Linked DNA regions of Saccharomyces cerevisiae S288C. Changing the gene in region 1 together with any one later gene gives a genetic interaction. Each region holds a gene or a part of one and is shown on either strand. Other genes may lie near its edges.

Region 1 (7,633 bases):
GGAACCGGAGTAGAACCAAACGATTTTGAGTGTGGTCTTCTTTGCTTCGGAGGCTTTAACATTTTTGAAGTCTGTAGGTCTGATGAGTTCTCCGGTATCGAAGTAGATATTGGCGATAACGTCGTATGGTCTAGTTTATTGTTATTGTCAATCGCCGGTGGGTTTTTATTGGAAGAAACTATTGGTGGCGAATCCGATGAGGTGATCTTTGGTATTTCTATAGGATCAGTTTTCTGTTTATCTCCATTATTTTTCTTATTTTCGGTTGACAACCGTTCCTGTTGTTCCCTTTTAGCCAACTTCAAAAGATGGGGTAATAGCTTGTACGAGTATTCAATCAAAAATTCCACTACTAGTCGGGATAACTCGTATTCTTTGGGGTCCATATCATGTTGAGGATGCGATAATATTGAAGGTTGGAAGATGGCCGCCAAGTTTCTACCAGACATTAGGTTAAACTGTGATTGCCTTGCAAAAAGACTCAGTAAATCGAGTAGGTATATAGTTAGCTGTTTCGTGTCATTTGATAAGGTAACAAAGAGCTCTTCATATTCCTTGATAGCTGCCCTTATATCGCGGGTCAGCCTTCTCTTATGACGTATTTTTCTTCGTCTTTTTTCTTCATCATCTTTAGCGTCCTCCTTTTCGATGTCACCATCATTAGCACCATCATCATTATAGTTCTGTCTACTTGATTTTACTGTTACATTATTTGTTTTATTCGCATTCGGATGAGAAACTTCGTGGGTCAACATATGCCTTAGGATTCTTGGTCTAGATCGTAGCGGGTTTCTGAATTGTTCATATAGGGATAAAGGTATTAGTGGTTCGGCCAAATTATTAAGGTATCTCCTCAGGAGCGATGCAACATCGTGCACTGTATATGTTTCCCAATCGTTGAATTTGGTACCATAATCAGGTGGCGACGAGAATATGTATTGAAGGGCTTTTACTCTTTTACCATTGCCCGCTATACGAAATATACCCGAGGTCTCCAATCCATTTGCTTTTAAGTATGCGCCGCACTTGGCTACCACGATGGGTATCCGACCAAAACTCACCAACTCACTTTGAACAATGACCTCTGCACTGGCGACGCTCAACGATTCTGCTAAAGTAACACCGAAAACCCTACCTGTGAAACCATTTCTATTAGATAAAAACATATCTCTGTAATTTTTGAACTCTGCGTGAGGCGATGTTCCGGAATTAGCGTTGTTATTGTTATTGTTCTGTTTCGCGGATTTGGAAAAGGATTTCCTATCTTTGGTTGGGGTATTATATGAATATGGTCTTGAAGATAATGGAGGCCGTTTTAAAGTAGTTGGTTGAGCATTCCTTGAAAGAGAAGTTGGTGATCTAGGGACTGTAATATTTTCGGATGACATACTCTTAGGGTTGTTTATGAACTGCTTCCAAAAACTTGGGACATGACCTTTAGAGGGAGAAACATTTTCAATTTTGGAGCCTTGTTTAAGAGTATTATTTGGCATTATAAAGATATTTTTAGTTTATCTTAGTGGTATTGAGAGGATGAAAGTAAGACCAAAGCAGGAATCAAATTGGAAGCTCGAAAGCAAACTTGTGAAGGCTAATTTCTCTGCCCCTCTACTTTAGAAAAAAATTGCTGTGAAATGAGAACGGCTTTTTGAACACTGCAATATAACTTTCTGGAGAAAATTTGTTCTGATAACTTTGTGATGCGTGAAAGCTTAAGAGATCAAAAATATGTGGAGTTTTCAAGTCACTAGTGAATAAAACCAGTGGAATGGGTAAAAAAATTTTTTGTAACGGGCCTGCTATTCTAGGAAACCTAACGAAGACTTTATCAATTTGTTTTTCCTCTTCTGAGATCGTCCGATCAAGCCTAACAGTTTCGCGAGTAAAAAGGATGATTTCTTCTAAATTTAGTATTAAAGTAATGAATGCGTACACCCTGCTTGAAGATGTTGTGCAATGTAGCTCAGTTTCTTCCGCGCCAGGCCACTAGTCTTGCTTTTTTCCTGTTTGTCAGCACCGGTTTCCCAACTGGGCTGTGTCATCGACAAGACAGAGATGGTGTTTTATAAAAGAGAAAGGAGACTGAGGAACGTCGTTTTAGGAAGACTAGGCGAGGTGAGCGAGAAAACTGATTTCCCCATATGGTAGGCTTTGTACCATATTGGGAAGGTGGCAGCCCTATTGGGAACGCGCTCCTTCCCTTTTGGGATATTGTCAGTAGGGTAATATGCTCGCCGCATGCCCGTAATAGATAGACTCAAACGATACTTTGTTGGTGGAAGGATGAATTACCCTATATAGTATTTAAATTAAGAAACATTACAATAAAAGAAAAAGGTAATGGTAACATCTCACAATAGAAGGTAATGAATACAGAGGGATGCAGGGGCCTCCTCTAGTTCTTGTTGAGTTGCACGTAGTTCCCAGGAAACACACCTTGCTGGCCATTGTATCTTCCTGTCCACCATTCGTTCACGTCCGGAGTACGCTGGACAATTTCTATAACTGCGCCGGCAGGGAAAGACAAATCACCAGCAGCTTGAGCTTGGTAGTCATACAATGCGGTAACAGTTTCAACGCCAGGAGCTGCCGCTACGGCCGCGGCTGGTGTGCCCGCAACAGGTGATGTTAGAGGATTAGAGTAGGCCGGTGGTGGTCCCTGTTGCTGCTGTGGTGATTGTTGGAAGCCTAGCCCAGTGAGCGGTGGAGATTGCGCAGCAGCATACTGTGGATAAGTACCCGGAACAGCGCCAGCAGCAGCACCAGCAGCAGTACCAACAGCAGCAGCAGTACCAACGGCGGCAGCAGTACCATACTGGGCAGCAGGTTGAGCGGCGTAACTTGGTGCTGCGGCACCATAACCGTATCCTGTAGGGGTTGGAGAAGTGGCAGTTGCTGGATCATACCCAGCACCATATCCGACACCGCTTGATGCGCCACTGACGGGTGAGCCTTCGGCGGTTGCTACACCATACTTCCTTCTGGTCATCTCCAATTTTGCCTTAGAGTAACCGAGTTTAAAGTGTGTAATAGTCAAGGCGTCCGTTTGTTCTTCCACATTGCCTTTCTTGGCAATGTACGACTCTACAATGTCACTGTTCAAATCAAAATATGGAATCTTCATGTCTTGAAGTCTATTATACAAAGTGTAAAAAATGTTCAATTGCATGAAATAAAATGAGACAAATAATGGTTTCACAAATTCAGCTTCCAAACTGAACAGTATTGGTAATTGAGTCTTTAGCAAGTCGTTATAGTAATCATATTCTTGTTGAGCCACTTCCACTTGAGCTTGTGCTTTATACAATCTTTCTTCGTCTTTGGCGGTTGGTTCCTTCTTCTTTTCATGCTTGTTATAAGTGTTTAGATGTCTATCTAAATCTAATTTTTTGTGATTTCTCTTGGTGGCCATTTTACGAATATAAGTAATAATCTTCAACAGTTCCTGGCATGGCGTAACAATTTTTTCTTCCACCAAAGCCAGATCCGGTTTCAATGTTTCCTGTAATTCTGCGACAATTGCCCTATACTGTTCACTTGCTTCAATACCTTGTGGGTTGTCCTCTGGTATGGTAGCGTTAGGGTCACTCATTTTACCACTGATAGGTTTGAAAATTTCCTCCATGGATTTGGCAAATCCAATTTGGTGTGTCAGCATTCCATTCACCGCAGTCGAGTATCTCTTCGATTCCTCACTTAATTTTTTTGTCTCCTGCTCCAATTCTTGAAAACGACGTTCTGCATCCTCGTAAACAGGATCCTCTGTCTGCTCACCCATCTTGAACTTTTGACGGAAGGACTGAGGAGCCCTACTAACAGCCTTGGTAAACCCTTTAAAACTCATGTGCACTTATTGGCTCCTTGATTCTTGGTGTTAAATGACCAGGTGAGCCTCACTTTACTTTATTCCTTAAAACAGGTTGTTAAACATCGACACTACAAAGCCCTCTCCTTTTTTTTTTCCGGTACCAATATTATCGCAACATCCGAACATCGGTCGGATTGATAATTTAGTCAGGTAGACTACCATAGCAACTGGAAGGTATACATAACAAAATTTCCATACGAAAGGAACTTCTTGAACTATATACAACCTTATATGTGCAACTGTAGCGTGCACTTATAGTCCATGGTCAAAAAGTATCTTTTCTCAGTAGAAAACAAAAGCGTACAGGCAAGCGACAGGAAAGTCAAAACTTGATAGAGGTATGTCTACAGATGAAAGTGAAGACGTTTATTCTGATCTGTATTCCATTATCTCCCAGGTAACATCCAATACTGCCAATGACATCGAGCAACTCCCATATGCTTTAACGTTCAAAACGTCGTTAATCTTCGTTGGTGCTACCATTGGTGGGCTTTTATTCGGCTATGATACTGGTGTTATATCAGGTGTTCTGCTTTCTTTAAAGCCCGAAGATCTATCTTTGGTAGTTTTAACGGATGTTCAGAAGGAGCTGATAACTTCCAGTACAAGCGTCGGATCATTTTTTGGCTCTATTCTGGCATTTCCTTTAGCAGATAGGTATGGAAGAAGAATTACTCTCGCAATCTGCTGTTCAATTTTTATCCTAGCTGCAATTGGAATGGCTATAGCAAGAACATTGACGTTTTTGATTTGTGGGAGATTGCTGGTTGGGATCGCTGTTGGAGTGTCTGCCCAGTGCGTCCCTCTATTTCTGAGTGAAATTTCACCTTCCAGAATCAGGGGTTTTATGTTGACATTGAACATTATTGCCATCACTGGAGGTCAATTGGTTTCCTATGTGATTGCGTCCCTTATGAAAGAGATTGATAATTCATGGAGATATTTGTTCGCACTTTCTGCTATTCCAGCTATTCTGTTCCTTTCAATACTGGATTTTATCCCTGAATCGCCACGATGGTCCATTTCCAAGGGAGACATTCTATATACCAGGGATTCTCTAAGAATGCTATATCCTACTGCATCTACATATCATGTGAATAGTAAAATTAAGCAGCTGATAATTGAACTCGATAAGTTACGACTATACGAAGATGCAAGTGAACCTTTACTAGTACAGTCCCAATCGGTTATTCGATACATGGATAGTTCAACCTCAGGAACTCTTAGCCCACCTAACATTAAAAGACTTTCCTCGAACACAGAAAGAACTAGCAACACAATGTCCTCCTCATCAGCATATCTATCGGCGTTGCGAGGCCCAGCTCCAAACGGTGCCCTGGCATCTAACAAAAAGAAAAGACACAGAATGGAGCCACGCACAATAAGAGCGTTAATAGTAGGTTGCATGTTAATGTTTTTCCAGCAAATCACTGGCTTTAATGCTTTTATGTACTATGCGGCAATAATATTTTCCAAATTTAATATAAAAAACCCTCTACTGCCTCCAATTTTGATTGCCTCAACGAACTTCATATTCACTTTTTTCGCCATGTACACCATGGACTCTTTGGGAAGAAGAGCCATTCTTTTGAGAACAATTTTGATTATGACTGTTGGGTTACTTCTTTGCAGTGTAGGTTTCGGTCATGACCAAGTCAATTTACTTTTAATTTCTGTTGTAATTTATGTTGCAGCATATGCTTCTGCGATGGGCAGCGTTCCATGGACCTGTGTGGAATTTCTCCCCTTGAACAGGAGATCATTTGGGGCATCATGTATAGCCTGCACAAATTGGTTGACCAATGCATTTGTTTCAATGACATATCTGAGCACTATTAACACCATTGGTGATGAAAATACAATGCTCATTTTTGCTTTTTTCACAGTTTGTGCCTGGTTTTTCGTATATTTTTGGTATCCAGAAGTCAAAGGTTTGTCACTGGAAGAGGTTGGAAGGGTTTTTGATAATGGAATTGATGTTCATTATGTCTTTCGTACCTACCATTGATGAGTTGTCAAGTGGCATCATAATGCATTGGGGCGGCTTTCAGATATGCTTCTGGTATATTTGTCCGTGAGAAATTAAGGCTTCTTTTCTTATATATGTATATATTAGTTAAAAGAATATCATCACTTTTTTCTTTATAAAACCTTGCAGGGATGACTATATTTCAAATTGCTAAAGTTTACCAAAAGCATCATATATCTTTTCTGAAAGAGATTTAGTAATTTTCTTCGCACCAGGTGCATCTCCCAGTACATTAAACATCAACAATTTAGCCTCTTCTTCCGAGGAGCACGTTTTATATGCCATTAGTATTTTATTCAGGGTAGGAAATATTTCTTGGATGGCTACTGCTTTTTCTAAAGATATACCTTTAACAAGCATTAAAACATGTATAGTTAGCTCACCAACCGTCTTTAGATCGCCTTTTCCCATTAGTTCTTGAAAGCATTCAAGATTATGACAGCATTCAATACCGCCTTTTCGTTCGAATTCTCGACGAAACTGTAGAAGCACCTTTTTATAATCGTCCTTGCTTTTAAGGTCACTTGGAAATATAACTATGAGATCTTTTTGAGAATAGTGATGAGAAATTACAGTATGCAACGCATGTATCTTTTCCACAGTTTCATCCGAATTGCAAGTTCTTATCATGGAGAATTTGTAATACACTAAAATGACCCAAAGCGCGGTCTTTAGGGCCTCATTCATATTTCCAATGTTGCCACTCATAGTCTCCTCAATGAGATAGTATTTGTGTTCACAGCCAGATTTCTCTAACCTATTTTTTTGCTCCATAAACCTGTTATCCCTTATACTTAAAGCTAAATCGTCTAGCCTTTTTCTTTCAACTATGGTGTTGAGCACACACTGCAACCCGGTATTTTTATTCTTGGCAACCCATATAATATCACCCAAAGCGAGTTGCCTTATCTCTGACTTCATACCTTTTCTTTCAAATGCCCTTGAAAAAAACTCACGATCAGATTGTGACTTTATTTCTCTGTGATCAATAATTGGGAAAACTTCGAAATCACCACTACACCACAATTCGTAACTTACTCCGTTGTACCTTCTCCTCTTTATTGTGCTTTTAGCCTTTAATGCGGAATCAGGTACTGTTTGATCATCAGAGACCTCTTCCAATTTATGAGAAGATATATTAGTTTGGCTATTCAGTCTATCATTTTTAAATACATTGTTCTGCAGCCTTTGCGGCGTGCTCAAATCTTGAAAAGTTATATCCAGCATGAATGAAGTGTTATTTATATCGCAGGGCTCTTCTTCCTTACCATATTCACCACGGAGGTCAGTCAGATTTGCTGTGAATTCACTACTTTCATTCCTGGTTACGGAATACTCGTTAGGTTCTTCATTTTCTTTTGGAAAAGAGATTCCGTCTGCCGTCTTTAAGCTCTTTGTTAGTTCTACACCTTCCTCTGTTAGCGAATACCGTTTTGGTCTACCTTCCTCAAGAACCAACGAATGTTTTTTAAGTGCAGCAATAGACGACCAAGCACCGTAGAATTCTTTTGTGGAGAAATTTGGAGTCATACAATGGTCACTGTATTTTCCTGCAACCTCGATGATTTGCTCTTTACTAACGCCTCGAGGAATGGCATTAAGCTCGAGTAAGGAAAGAAGGATAGCGTAGCCTCCAGATCTTTTTTTGGGTATATACTTCCTAGTTTTTCTCTTTTTAGTTCCCTTCTCTTCGGGAGCTTCATTCTTATCATTTTCGCATGAGTTTACTATGCTAC
Region 2 (7,094 bases), on another chromosome or scaffold:
AAAACCACTTTATATAAAAAAAATTACAAAAGCAAAAAATGTTCAAGAGATTTAGCAAAAAGAAGGAGGCTCCAGAAGACCCAAAAAATTTGATTAATATTGATAAGCCTATCAAAGAACTTCCTGCTTCGATAGCTATTCCAAAAGAAAAACCACTTACAGGTGAGCAACAAAAAATGTATGACGAAGTGCTAAAACATTTCAGTAACCCTGACTTGAAGGTTTATACAAGTGAAAAAAATAAGTCGGAGGATGATCTTAAACCCTTAGAGGAAGAAGAAAAGGCATGGTTGACAAGAGAATGTTTTTTACGTTACCTAAGGGCTACTAAATGGGTGCTAAAAGACTGTATCGATAGAATCACCATGACTCTAGCGTGGAGAAGAGAATTCGGTATTAGTCATTTAGGTGAAGAGCATGGTGATAAAATAACTGCTGACTTGGTGGCCGTCGAGAACGAATCAGGTAAGCAGGTGATTTTGGGTTACGAAAACGATGCTAGACCTATCTTATATTTGAAACCGGGCAGACAAAATACAAAGACTTCTCACAGACAGGTACAGCACTTGGTCTTCATGTTGGAAAGAGTTATCGATTTTATGCCAGCTGGTCAAGACTCTCTAGCTTTGCTAATAGACTTTAAAGATTACCCTGATGTTCCTAAAGTACCTGGCAATAGTAAAATCCCACCTATTGGTGTAGGGAAAGAAGTGCTGCATATTCTACAAACTCATTATCCAGAAAGACTAGGAAAAGCACTTTTGACGAATATTCCTTGGTTAGCATGGACTTTCTTGAAGTTAATTCACCCTTTTATTGACCCACTGACCCGTGAAAAGCTAGTTTTTGATGAACCATTTGTTAAATATGTCCCTAAGAACGAACTAGATTCGTTGTATGGTGGTGATCTGAAATTCAAGTACAATCATGATGTTTATTGGCCAGCTCTGGTGGAAACCGCGCGTGAAAAAAGAGATCATTATTTTAAGAGGTTTCAAAGCTTCGGTGGTATTGTAGGTTTAAGTGAGGTTGATTTAAGAGGTACTCATGAAAAACTTCTTTACCCAGTAAAATCGGAAAGCAGTACCGTGTAAAGGCAAATTTAGATAGATAATGATAATGCACTATAATATATAATAAATAAAAGAGAATAAAAAGTTTAATCACGTTCCCGCTTCTTTTTCCTAACCATCAAAGAATGCAATCTAAAGAAGAAGAAGCGAATACCCTCTTTTAAATATATACGCGTCTATATGCACTGTAGATAAGCTGTTACATATCAAAAAGGTTTGGCACATTTGCGCTTTTCTGTAGCGCCTGTAACCGGTGAAGTCATCATTTGCCAGTCTGTAGCATACATCAATCCACCAGCACCATTAGCAGCTCTGGCGAACACGACCCCAAGGTCATTCCTTGCAGTGGTCAAATAGTAGTTGGTTCCGTCACCTAATGATAAAACTTGCGCCCTAACAATATCTCCCGGCTTGAAACATTCTATCACTTTCACACGATCTCTGTCTGTAGACCGTACATCCTGAGACCTGATTATACCTCTGAATGTCTCACCTAAATCTGATGATGCTTGAGAAACAGAGAACGTAGCTGCTCCAGAACCGCCACCAGCAGCGACTATTCCCGATCCATTACTGCCGATGCCACTATCAATTGGAGATGGTTTATCTTCCACAGCTAAAATTTCGACATTGGCTCGTTGCAACGAAAGCCTTGTCACCCTGGTCAGCACAATATCACCTTCCTTCGGTAGGTTATTGGCAAAATCATTATTAGCATATTTGTTGGTTTTACGACCCTTTTCTGTCCCAGGAAGCACTGAAACCAGAATATTTTTTACAGTTCTTCTTGTGACATCATTAGGTGATGCATCTACTGATTTTTCTTCCTCTGTAGATTGATCAGTGCCTTCACGCTCTTCTTCCTGATCAGTTTTTTTTTCTTCCTCACACCTCACTGTCCCAACTAGTGTAGCAGTTATAGCTTCTAAAGTTCGTCCGTTGTGTTCATATTGAATTAGTTTAGTTCCGGGACCGGGCACATAATTGAAAATTATATCTTCGCCATCTTTATTTTCCGTACCGTACTGTGGGCATATTAGTTTACCTGGATAAGCTATTTCTGGAAACTGAAAATTGCATGCCATTATAATACACTTATAGATTGAGGTATTCAATGCTCTGGAAAAAATCAAAGAATCTTTAATATACAAATGCGTAGTTAATCATGCCGTACCATAAGCTCATCATCAGTGAATTCTGGATCTTATTTTTCTTTCTTTTTTCAATATTTTTTGGAAATTTTTACTTCACGTGACGGAGACGGGTAATGCAGACGGTATTTTGAAATGATGCCGCAAATACAACACATAACACCCAAGATTCTTGCGATAAATTATAGGTTTATAAAAACTAGAATGTCTTGATATGTATGATTTGATTCATTTCCATTTCTCCCAGTTTTCTGCTCTAATAAAAATGTGTGTAACATCGCGAATCATCGTGTACTTCCATTGCGCTCTTTAACTCATTTAATTCCAATTTGATCATTTGAGCCAGTTGTGGAGTAAGCTGGTTACAAGTGGAAATTTCTGGATGTCTATCATATTCGAATTCTCCATAAGTGTCGTAAAGTATTATCTGGGACGAAAACCGGACACCCTGGTCATTATTACTGTTTACATACACCTCACCTAGACTTGTTAAGTCTGATTTTACGGGAGAATCAGGCGTCATGGAGTCAATAAAAGAAGTATTCATTCTTGGGGCTTTTAGTCCTTTAAAGGACATTGAAACAGGTCTATTGGGTTCGAATTCTGGTAAATATGCATTATTTCTTGGAGTAACTTCTATGGGCTGTTCTATGTGTTTGTTGAAATCTTCATTCTCAAATTCGTTGTCATTTATTTCACTTCCGTCTTGTTCAAATGTATGTAATTGACCTTGACGCTCATCTCCGTATGTAGTAGCTCCAGCAGCGGAATAAGATTGAGTTTCTCTTTCTTTGTAACTATCCTCTTTGTTATTTCGTGTATCAAAAGTACCAGAGCGATTTACTTCATCATTTCCAACAGGTTCAGGGGTTTCTGTTGCATATGAGGCCGTTGTATCTCCCAAGTCTAGGTCTAGATTGAGATCATCATCACCGAAGTTAATAAAACTTGCAAACTCCATTATATCAGAAATTAACTCGTTATCATCATCTGCAAAAACGCTTTGCCTTTCAGAATCCTTCTTCAGAGGTTCTTCTCTTGGTTTTGGTACATCCCTTTCAACTTCAGTTTTTTCTTCATCAGAGGCCATCACTAGCTGGTCAAATTTTTGTTCAATAGACTCTAAAAATATGTCATCTTTTTTTAGTGGACCACTATCGTCCTTGATATCTAAAAAGTCCTCATTCGTGGTACCTTCGTAAGAGTGTTCTCTGGAGAAATTATCTGAGTATTCGAACCTTCCATTCTTTAAAATGCTGCTAGCAGGAGACTTCGTCAAGTCTGGAGTAGATAATACAACAGAAGATGCCTCAGTGATGAACATTCCCTCACTTTGCGCTTTGATCGATAGCGTATCTGTCAATGACCTTCTTTGCGAGTTCATTGAACTTCTCTTGTTAGACTTTGTAGATCTTGTTCTTTCTAAAGAAACGATCGAGTCGACTTCATGATTATCCAAAAATTTTGGGAAAAGAACCTCACCTGTATCGTGTTTGGAAAATGCTGGTGAGGGTGCTTCGTAGTCCAGTGATAAAAAATTATCCTTGGTTGGTAATTGAAGATCATTTTTGGCATCATCATCTTCTCTTACGTGTTCTTGTAGCGGGGTATTTATCTGTTTATCACCTCCCAATATGAGATCCATGTTTAAAGGAGTAGGTTTTCTCTGATCAATTGATCTCGTTACGTGATCTATTTTCACGGGAGTATCGTCGTGGTTTTTTCGTAGTAGAGGTGATTCAGTGGATAACACTGATGCGGCGTCAATTATTTGTTCAGTATCTTGCTTTTTGTCCTTGGATTTTGGGGTTCTTTTTTTTTGCCTCATTGGTTCCTTTCGAGGTGAGTCTGATGTTTCAATTTTTCCCTTTAGGAAGGAATTGAAAATGCTACTGCTACTGTGAGACTTCTTCTTTAGTTTTTCAGGCGTTTTTAAAGAGGTTTGAATATTCATTGAGAAAGTGCTCGATGAAGACATCTTATTTTTTTCATTCGTTACACTATTATTACCAATAACTGGTTTCGGTTCTTTCTTCTTCAGAAATGAAAATATACTCTTTTTCTTTTTATGCATAGAAGTGTCTTCAAGTACCGAGCCTGCTGAAGTAGTCCTTTGGGCAGAAGAATCAGTATACTTTCGCGCTTCTGCTTTGTTTAAACGAACTTTTGGGTTGTATAATTTACTCGAAGGAGGCGAGGGTTTCGGATCCTCTTTTAAAAATGGTGCGCTATGTGTTGTGCTTTCAGTTTCTGAATTAATGATAGTATTTTCCTCCCGCTTAACTGGTAAATTGTTGTCTCGTTCGAGAATAGTACGTCGTGTACTAACTTTGCTCCGAGGTCCCTGAGAATCAGGTTTTACTCTAGGAGTGGACAAAAAGTCAGGTTCTTCGAAAGACGGTAAACTCAAAGGGGCAACTTGAATACTATTGGATCCGTCAATGTCAATAAGGTTTGGAGAGGTCATCGCCAAGTTTTCATTTGCTTCCTCTCGTACAGACAGCCTGGATCCAGTTATATCCTCGTGATAATTGATCGAGTTGTTTTGCTCTTCGGCCTCTTCTTCTTCTTCTATTATGGAAGACTCAATATTTTGTGCCTTTCTAGTTTTTTGGTCAGCATATTTGGATCTTTCGTTCAGAATATCAGCCAATGCACTTAATGAGGGGGAAGTTGTCATATTTACCGTTTGTACTTCTGAGTCTCGGGCATTACTTTCTCCAAACGACCGCTGCAGAACTGAGCTTTCAACATCCCTATCAAGGACGGATTCGCATGGCTTTATTGATGAATTTAGACTTTGATCTGATATCTCCTTCAATATCAGAGAATTTCGAAAGGTTCTAGCATGATCAAGTGTATTTATCGACGTCGACGAATAAAAAGTAGAATTTAAAAGTTCTGAGGACTTTGAATCTGAAATACTATCCGACATATTCTGTTGAATACGTAGTGATATATCGTTATTAATAAAAACGCTGCTCGTACGGCTTTTGCACTCTGGTTGTTGAGATTTCTTTGTCAATTTATTTGAGTCGCTTTTCCTGTTGTTTATTTGCAAAGTCAAAACCTGTACTAATAAGCGAACTTGAGGGGGTCAACTCTAAGTGTGAGAATATTACACGTCTTGTTCTAAAGAAGATATAAAGCCAATCTGATTTCTTCGAATCTGAAATGATTTTTCATACTCGGGACGATAGAAGAGAGAAGTTGACTTGACGCGTCTCCGCTGACGCGCCTATATAAGACAAAGATTAGCTCGCGGGTAATAAAGAACAGGCAGTGATCTAAAGAATATATAATATAACCTGGGAAACTTATACACTTAATGGTACGGTTGTAGTTACATAATCGAGCAGTTCTTCTGCTGAGCAGTTTTTTGCAATAAATGGATTTTTTCATCATAATTATTTTTCTTGGTATTACTTTCCACGACGGTACTGCTACCGATGCTTGGTTTTGTACTTCCAGAGCCCTTTGGTGAGATTGGAGGCGTCGATTCACGGTCGCTTTTTATTGGAGTAGAAGAATTGTCTAAGAGTATTTCTGTAGGAATTTTATTTGTCGGTACTTGTGTTATATTATGAGGTATAGTAGCGTTTTTAGTTTTCACCATTTGTAGCTTGTTAACTGTACTTATATCATGCATCGCAAGTTTGGGAATGGAAAAATTTAAAACCACAGAGTCACCATTATACGAAAAATCTGGTTGAATCTTTTCCATTGGGTCCTTCCCTGCAGTAATCATACAATTTGCCAAATATGAGTAAAGTTGTCCCCATAGATTTTTGAGTTCCAGTGTGAGAAAAGATCCAAACCTGTCCTGCAATGTAGTCATAAATGCTTTTCCCATTACTTCGAAACCAACGGTTTTGATGCCGAGAATTCTGGAATGGCGTTTTCCTAATTTCACAATATAATCATCTAGGACATGAACGTTTTCAAGGTTGTCAATAGCAGAATCAAGGACCTTACAGAACGAAACTGCTTGATGTTTTAATGATGGAAAATATTCTTCTAACAAGGGATCCATTGCAATCAAATTGTCATAAAACTGTGAACAAAATAGTGCAGTATCAACCTTGTTATCATTGTCCCTTTGTTTTGTTTTACGTGGCCTGGCAGTAGGGTCAATAGTTTTGGAAATCATACCGTCAGGAGCAGTATTCAAATAGGGTCTTTCTGTTGAAGTAATATGTTTATTGGAATACAGAAGTGCTTGAAAAACTTTTAATTCTTTAGGTGTTAAATACTCCCTGAGGAGGATATCCCAGGACATTCGAAGTAACAGCAGATCTCTTGCATTAACTTTAAAGTCGAATCCTTCTGTATTCGGGGAGTCACCACGATCTATCTTGACCTGGTAGACACTACCTTCGGAACGTGAAATAGATTGTGGCATAAAATCGCTTCCGGAGTTTTTGGATGACATTTCACTTCTCATGGAATGATCATGAGAGCCAGGTCTCTCGTTTATTTTCAAATTATCGACTGGACCTATACTACTGCTGTTGTAGGAAGGCAGGGTTACGTTGTACATCATCGGTTTCGTATGGTGGACATTCCCGCTAGACATGTCGCTGTTGGTTAACAACTGCGAATGAAGTATTTTTTCTCCTGTCATACACAACCAGCTTATATGTGGATGAATGCAAACAACTGCAGCGGTCCGGTGGCGAGTCCCTTGAGGGGCAGACTCATATAAAATGGTTGCATAACGATTGCTATTTTTCAAAGGAACATTATTGCTCCGGCTCGTTCGAGCCTAAAAACCTTTTTTTTTGAAGAGGTTTTTCCGATGCCCCTTTTGCCTACGGAGTTTTCACTATCTGCCACGTAGATCGGGACATCTGCACAGAAAATTCCGTAG
Region 3 (7,890 bases), on another chromosome or scaffold:
CTGCTTATCATTTGTCATTCCCTATATCATCTAGAGCATCATTCGGTATTTTCTTCTCTTTATGGCCCGTTATTAACAGAGTCGTCATGGCCATCGTTTGGTATAGTGTCCAAGCTTATATTGCGGCAACTCCCGTATCATTAATGCTGAAATCTATCTTTGGAAAAGATTTACAAGACAAAATCCCAGATCACTTTGGATCACCGAATGCTACTACTTACGAGTTCATGTGTTTTTTTATCTTTTGGGCTGCCAGTCTTCCATTTTTACTGGTTCCACCTCACAAAATTAGACACCTGTTTACTGTTAAAGCCGTCTTGGTTCCGTTTGCTTCTTTTGGTTTCTTAATTTGGGCTATCAGAAGAGCTCACGGGCGTATTGCCTTAGGATCTTTAACCGATGTACAACCTCATGGCTCTGCCTTTTCGTGGGCTTTTCTAAGATCACTAATGGGTTGTATGGCTAATTTCTCCACAATGGTAATCAACGCTCCAGATTTCTCTAGATTTTCAAAAAACCCTAACTCCGCTTTATGGTCCCAATTAGTGTGCATTCCATTTTTGTTTTCCATCACTTGTTTAATTGGAATTCTAGTCACCGCAGCTGGTTATGAAATATACGGTATTAATTACTGGTCGCCACTCGATGTGCTAGAAAAATTTTTACAGACTACTTATAATAAGGGCACAAGAGCTGGTGTTTTCTTAATCTCTTTTGTTTTCGCCGTAGCTCAGTTAGGTACTAATATTTCTGCAAACTCATTATCGTGTGGAACTGATATGTCCGCTATTTTCCCCAAGTTTATCAATATCAAGCGTGGTTCATTATTTTGTGCAGCCATGGCGCTGTGTATTTGTCCATGGAATTTAATGGCAACATCAAGTAAATTTACAATGGCTTTGTCCGCATATGCTATCTTTTTGTCCAGTATTGCCGGTGTTGTCTGCTCAGATTACTTTGTTGTTAGAAGAGGATATATCAAGCTAACACACATATATTCCCATCAAAAGGGCTCTTTTTATATGTACGGAAACAGGTTTGGTATCAATTGGAGAGCTTTGGCTGCATATCTATGTGGGGTGGCTCCTTGCTTGCCCGGTTTCATCGCGGAGGTGGGCGCTCCCGCTATAAAGGTTTCTGATGGAGCTATGAAACTATATTACCTAAGTTACTGGGTAGGATATGGCTTGAGTTTTTCTTCTTATACTGCTCTGTGTTACTTCTTCCCTGTACCTGGGTGCCCTGTTAACAACATTATAAAGGACAAGGGCTGGTTCCAAAGATGGGCCAATGTCGATGATTTTGAAGAAGAGTGGAAAGACACAATTGAGAGGGATGACCTGGTAGATGACAATATTAGTGTCTACGAACACGAACACGAAAAGACTTTCATTTAAGCTCTCCATATCTACATCACTTTCTGCATTAATCTGAAATATTTTTCAAATTTTCATGTGTAATGATATTAATCCTTATCTATACTACTTACTTCTATTTACGTTCTCTTTAGCATTTACTTTGTGCATTTGGCCTTCAATGAGCATTAATTTCACTGGTTTTAATATATTCACTCACTTTCATTCGATTTTTTGTTTGCTTTATGGCTTAGCGTTCTTTCCTCTCTCCTTTCTCTTTTTACACACGAGAAAAAATGGATAATTGTTGTATTATGCCATATGCATAACTTTACGATTCGTTATGCTATGCGAACTTGAAGCCCAGATTTCTACACGAAAAGTTTGAGTTTATTAGTATCTTCTCCAAGATAAATATAGCATCAAGTTACAGGTATGTCGAACATCACTTATGTCAAAGGTAACATCTTAAAACCAAAGTCATATGCTAGGATCCTCATCCATTCTTGCAACTGCAATGGCTCGTGGGGTGGTGGGATCGCTTATCAACTTGCTTTGCGCTACCCAAAAGCAGAGAAAGATTACGTTGAAGTATGCGAAAAGTATGGTTCTAATTTACTAGGCAAATGCATATTACTTCCCAGTTACGAAAACTCAGATCTGCTGATTTGTTGCTTGTTTACATCATCATTTGGAGGTTCAAGTCATGGAGAAAAGCAAAGTATTTTGAATTATACAAAACTTGCTTTAGATAAATTGAAGACCTTTAGAGAAGCAAAAGACAAAACTCGAACAAGTGAAGATTCAATCGGTGACTATTTAAACGGCCACATCAAATACCCAATAGGGGAATATAAATTGGAAATGCCACAGATAAATAGTGGCATATTCGGAGTCCCTTGGAAAGAGACAGAACGCGTGTTAGAAGAATTTAGTGGCGACATGAGTTTTACAGTATATCAGCTGTAATTGCCTTAGCCACGTAATATGTGCCTTTAAAGATAGAGAAATATTTATTTATTAAGTTTTAGTTCTAAGGTGTGTTAAAATACCTCTCAAATAAATAAGTTACACACAACCATATATCAACTTGTAAGTATCACAGTAAAAATATTTTCATACTGTCTATGCAACGAAGGAGTCACTTTCCTCCTTCCGATTGAGAATATCTTCCCTTTCAAATTCCCTCCATGTCCTCATTTTAATCTTTGAGTGATCAAATTCACCTTCATTCTCGTCTTGTGCCTTTTTATTACCTCCCGCAATAGTTCTCGTATCACCCCATGAGAAGTCATCAAATTTCCAGTACGCATATGAAGGTAGTACGAAATTCCAAATAGGCAAAGCACAAATATATACGCACATCCACCATAGGTACGACCATCTCGTAGCAGTTATAACAACAATTAAGCCGGGCAGACCAAGAATAATTGCCAGTAAAACTAAAGTGATTACGGGTGTAGGTTTTGATACAATGGCAAAAATAATGACATAAATAGTAAAGCAAATGGCTAACGGCAGTACCATAGTACCAATCAATTCAATACCAATCACAAATTGCATGGAAAAACAGAAAGTGCCACATAAGTCTCTGATTAGAACTAATTCAAAAAGGTTATGTACCGTAGAATTAATCCATCTTCGACGCTGGGAAAGTAAGACTTTGAATTTATCAGGGGCAATAGTTTTACAAGCAGCTTTTGGAACAAATACTTGCTTTCTCTTAGGGAAAGTCTTTAACATTAATGAAGATAAAAATCTATCTTCACCAAGTAATAATAAGTTCTTCTTATGCAAAGTGTTTGTAACATTATCCGAATATCTTTCAACAATATCTGGATTTGCCAATACAGGTACCCAATAACCATCTGAACCTTTAGGAGATTTTATACGATACATTGAGAAACATCCCGGCAAACAAGTTACCGAACCGAAGACAGATTCAAAAGCTTTAGCCTGATGATGCGAAATATAGTACTCAAACACTTGAATTGCAGTTACCCAAGATTGTGCCTTATTAGCGATCTTGGTCTCACCACAAAGACCCATAATCAAAGGATCTTTAACCATTTCAGCGACCATATGAGTTAAAGCATCGGGAAAGACTTTAGTATCAGCATCAACCATAAGTACCGTTTCGTAGAAGTCTGCCATTAGCCCCGTAATCTGCCAAATATTTTTTAAAAGCTGAAATTCCAATTGAGTCATTCTTTCATCAAATGTTATTTTTTCTAAAAAGGACATCAGAATAATTTGAGAATCACGCTTACCTCTGTTACCGGGTTTGGCGGCCCCCTGCTCTGCAGGAGTACCGCACTTCACAATTGTAATGATTGGGACACGTTGTTGATTTTCTGGTGGAATTGTAGAATCGTCATATTTGTAAAAACCCGCATATATCTTGGCCATATTGTGTCTTTTAGAGCCTGATGCCACTGCCACATAGGAGTAAGGTTTAACTTCATCAGGTGGGGTGACAAAGTCGTCCATCATTCCTAACGCTATCTCTGGAGTAGTCTTATCGTTGCCCGAGCCCTTAATTAAACCATCACAAACAACCATCAGTAGTTTATGGGAATTTGGATAATCTGTGGTAGAAAGAGAGTCTAAAGTGGTTCTTAAACCCTCTTCATCCTCAGAATAACAAGTAACAAAACAGATAGTATGAATCAATGGGAACCCGTATGGCATAAAATCCAGTGGTGGTTGTTGAACGATATCGGGATGTATAATCGTCGAATCAAGACTCTGAATCAGCGATGATCCTGGTACAGGAGAGGAAGTCGCTTTATTCCAAAACATCGAGGATGTAGGCAACAAAGTAGATGGATTACGGGAATGTACAGCTTTGTTTTCATTCGAGAGTTTCCAAGCATTTTGAGTGGTCATTGTTGTCATTCCTCTGTATGAACCAGAAGATTGTAGTGAACTGCTCATGGAGGTGTCTAGATCTATCACAGATTCGTTAAATTGAAACATTTTGGAGCTGTGTTTTTTCAGCAAGTCAAAGGTTGAAGCACGCTTGTGTCCCAACGACTTTTTTGAGTATTTCTTTGGCCTCAAATGAGGATCTACTTCCTTTAGAGGAGCTTTTGTTTGAATATTATTAGACCAATCCTCGATATCGTTTGTGTGTTTATCCATTGTTTTATTGTCCACGATATATGCACCTTGTTTCCTAGCTACAGTCCAACGGAAGTAGCAGGCAATTATGAATTTAATTATCACCACTGAAAGAATAAATACCAGAGAAACATACAAAACGACATCAGAGGCAATACAACCGACGGTTTTGGAGTCTACTTCACCAACTTTAATAATTTCGCTCAAACATCTCGCAATTTTTCTTTCATGCCCATTTGACAAAACCAACGAAAGATCATAACCTTGTAAATTTGAAGTCTTCAAGTCATCGAATACAACGGGATAGTCAACGTCATCCTTTTCCAACCAATCAAGAAGATCTAAATCCAAAACGTCGCCATTATAAACAATCAAGTTTCTAGAAGAGTTCTTTATACCATCCCAAGTGAAGTAAACATCAGCTTTCGACTTTAAACCGTAAAATGCGTCCCTATCTTCTTTAGACGTATGACAGTTCCATCCTGCGTAATTTTCAACTGTGAAGTTTGGCTTCGAAGAGCCATCTTGATTCTTTAACTTACAAGGAAAATACCATGCTAAATTATTATCATCGTCATGGGGAATGGAAGAATTACTCTTTGGAGTTATAAGGTTATGACAGTTACCATTCACATTTTGAAACAAGAACGAAGCATCTTTACCAGCATCTGACCAGGGCCCATAAAGGGTGTCTGAATCTACTTCAACGTCTTGTATACCGGAACGCGAGGAAGTATCCAATTCATAAGCCTTACCGTTAATTACGACAAATTCTGTTGATACTTCGTTGTTTTTCAAACGTAGTTTCGAACTACTACAAACGGTTTTAGTGAAACCAAAAGTCAGGAAAGCCACAATCGCACCAATGTACAAGATGACAGAAATTAAAGCAACCTTTTCTCTCCACGCCATTTGTCTTTCCTTCTTTGGCATCCCGCAGAAAGCAAGAATTGGAGCAGGTGCCCAAAACGTAATGAAATAACAGTACATCTGCCAAAATGACAATGTATCATTCGTTTCCTTTCTTAATGGTTTGATAGACTTATTTATGGGCTGCGTGGAGCTTTCTTCGAAATTGTCCACATCACCATCTTTATCAAATTCGTCTTCCGCAACACCTTCATCACTTATTTTAACGGAAGCCTTCTTGTCAGTAGTATTCATATCTTGTAAAAGATAGCTATCCGTTTCGCGGCCACTAAATTTGCTTCTCACTGAGCCTTTGGAGCGCAGGGAGCCACTCCGACGAGTTGCATTTGGGTTTACACCGGTACTTGATGGTAAAACATCCAGGTGATTCATCTGCTCCTGCGTTTTCTGCGCATAATAAAAATGTGGATTATCAGGATTGTTCAGTCGGCTTCTTTCGGGCCGCACTAAAGAGCCTTGTCTATGAGGTGCTCCTGAGCCGACACTGTGTCTTGACCTAAGTAGAGACTCTTCATCTTGATTAAGGTTCAGATAGTAGTCATCAGGATCATCTCCATTCAAGCCGGTCATTCTAATTTCTTTCCTGCGGATAGTCTAAACAGGACCTTTGAAGAAAATGGGACCTACACCAAAAATACTCGAGAACTTTGCAAATCGGTAAACGTTTATAACCGTCTACCAATGTGATTCTTCTAGCAGGATTTACTACAAGTCGAAATGTTGGTACTGAATGTAAATCTGAAACACAGGAAAGAATATTTTTGATTTCTATTTTTATGCTCTTATTTTCATTTTTGATTTTTTTTTTCGAGGTCTGCGCCAGCGCCAATAACGCGTTTTATCCAAATAGGCAGCCAAAGAGGGTCACCTATGCAGGTGCTGAATGCAATACAACTGCGGGCTAACTGTCCATCGACGCTATTGAATATGCTTCAAGAAATATCCAGTCTCATGCACATGTCAAATATGTGGGTGAGGGCGCAAATACAACGCACGATTATATATACATTTGTGGCTACGTAGTACGTGCGGAGATAGGCAGGTATTTGTTCAAGGATGTAAATAAGAACTACAATGCTTAGTTCTCGAATCCTAGAATGTGAGTAAATCTCACAAGCACCGCTTCTATAAATTTGTCTAGGGTAATTTGTAATCTTTTCCCATGCGGATTCTCTTAAATACGGTACAGCCGTCGCTGCTGCGGTGTGATTCTGGTTTCATAGATCTGGAAAAAGAAAGCGAGACACAATACAAGAGCTTTGTGACACAGCGTACGGAGAGAATAAGATAAAGAACAGTTCCTGGCGTTTTTAATTGAACTTTTGTACTCGTCTCTTTATTCTCACGAATTTTTTTACCGCCGTTTTCATTTCCATTGCAAAGGAGGGAAAATATAAATGTTTTTATAGAGGCAGTATATCTTTAATTTCATAGCATATGCAGTTTAGAAAAAAGACGTAAATTCGTTGCCCTAGTCACGCTGGTTACATAAATTGGTCGTTGAATTGACTTTTAAGACATCCAGTTGGTGTGTTTGCTCCAAATAGTGCTGACGCATCTTGCCAATTCTCGTCAATTTAGCACGGAATGCTTGTTACTTATTCGATAACGCTTTTACCTTGATTGCATGTAGTCACTATCCTCAAACCTTTTCTAAGGTTGCCCTATTGGCGACAGAAAAGCAGGACGAGAAATCTAAATAACCAACGTGTGGTTTATTAACTATGACGGTTGGTTTGCTTGCCGCCCCAAGTTATAGAAGACTGCCCTTCATCCCGGGGTAGCTATCATAGAATCTGTCGATAGTTACAATTTTGGGTGGGGTGTTTTCAAAAATGGACGGATATGCCGGTCTTTGAAACTTCGATGATGTAGCCTATTGTTTTAATTTTCTGCTTGATCCTTTCGCTCTTTTTAGGGATAAAAAAGAAAACCTAACAAAGTATGAATTTCGAGAAGTCCCATCGATAGTAGTCAAACAATTGCTAAAGAGGGCTACGGATCGTCTACAATACCTTCGTAAAACAGCAGCTTACAGGATCTTTTATAATATCACCATAGAAAGGGGAATTTGGGAAGCGAGAGTAAAATGTTGAATAGTTCAAGAAAATATGCTTGTCGTTCCCTATTCAGACAAGCGAACGTCTCAATAAAAGGACTCTTTTATAATGGAGGCGCATATCGAAGAGGGTTTTCAACGGGATGTTGTTTGAGGAGTGATAACAAGGAAAGCCCAAGTGCAAGACAACCACTAGATAGGCTACAACTAGGTGATGAAATCAATGAACCAGAGCCTATTAGAACCAGGTTTTTTCAATTTTCCAGATGGAAGGCCACCATTGCTCTATTGTTGCTAAGTGGTGGGACGTATGCCTATTTATCAAGAAAAAGACGCTTGCTAGAAACTGAAAAGGAAGCAGATGCTAACAGAGCTTACGGTTCAGTAGCACTTGGCGGTCCTTTCAATTTAACAGATTTTAAT

The links. A genetic interaction does not mean that the proteins touch.
Region 2: mutations in RVS167 (region 1) and BNI4 are lethal when combined (synthetic lethality), as found in Saccharomyces cerevisiae (5 studies listed by BioGRID, with this or other methods).
Region 3: mutations in RVS167 (region 1) and CHS3 impair growth when combined (synthetic growth defect), as found in Saccharomyces cerevisiae (5 studies listed by BioGRID, with this or other methods).

The regions. Positions count from the first base shown.
Region 1 is NC_001136.10:1,246,397-1,254,029, reverse strand, and holds RVS167 (amphiphysin), read right to left. Parts: upstream 3,845-7,633; coding exon 2,396-3,844; downstream 1-2,395. Other genes in the region: GTPase-activating protein SAC7, read right to left, coding at 1-1,493; CIN10 (Cin10p), read left to right, coding at 4,209-5,876; MUS81 (Mus81p), read right to left, coding at 6,048-7,633. UniProt on the Saccharomyces cerevisiae protein: Component of a cytoskeletal structure that is required for the formation of endocytic vesicles at the plasma membrane level.
Region 2 is NC_001146.8:209,987-217,080, reverse strand, and holds BNI4 (Bni4p), read right to left. Parts: upstream 5,160-7,094; coding exon 2,481-5,159; downstream 1-2,480. Other genes in the region: PDR16 (phosphatidylinositol transporter), read left to right, coding at 39-1,094; exosome non-catalytic core subunit CSL4, read right to left, coding at 1,280-2,158; YNL234W (uncharacterized protein), read right to left, coding at 5,568-6,848.
Region 3 is NC_001134.8:281,948-289,837, forward strand, and holds CHS3 (chitin synthase CHS3), read right to left. Parts: upstream 5,979-7,890; coding exon 2,481-5,978; downstream 1-2,480. Other genes in the region: FUR4 (uracil permease), read left to right, coding at 1-1,397; POA1 (ADP-ribose 1''-phosphate phosphatase), read left to right, coding at 1,791-2,324; putative thioredoxin peroxidase SCO2, read left to right, coding at 7,498-7,890. UniProt on the Saccharomyces cerevisiae protein: Polymerizes chitin, a structural polymer of the cell wall and septum, by transferring the sugar moiety of UDP-GlcNAc to the non-reducing end of the growing chitin polymer.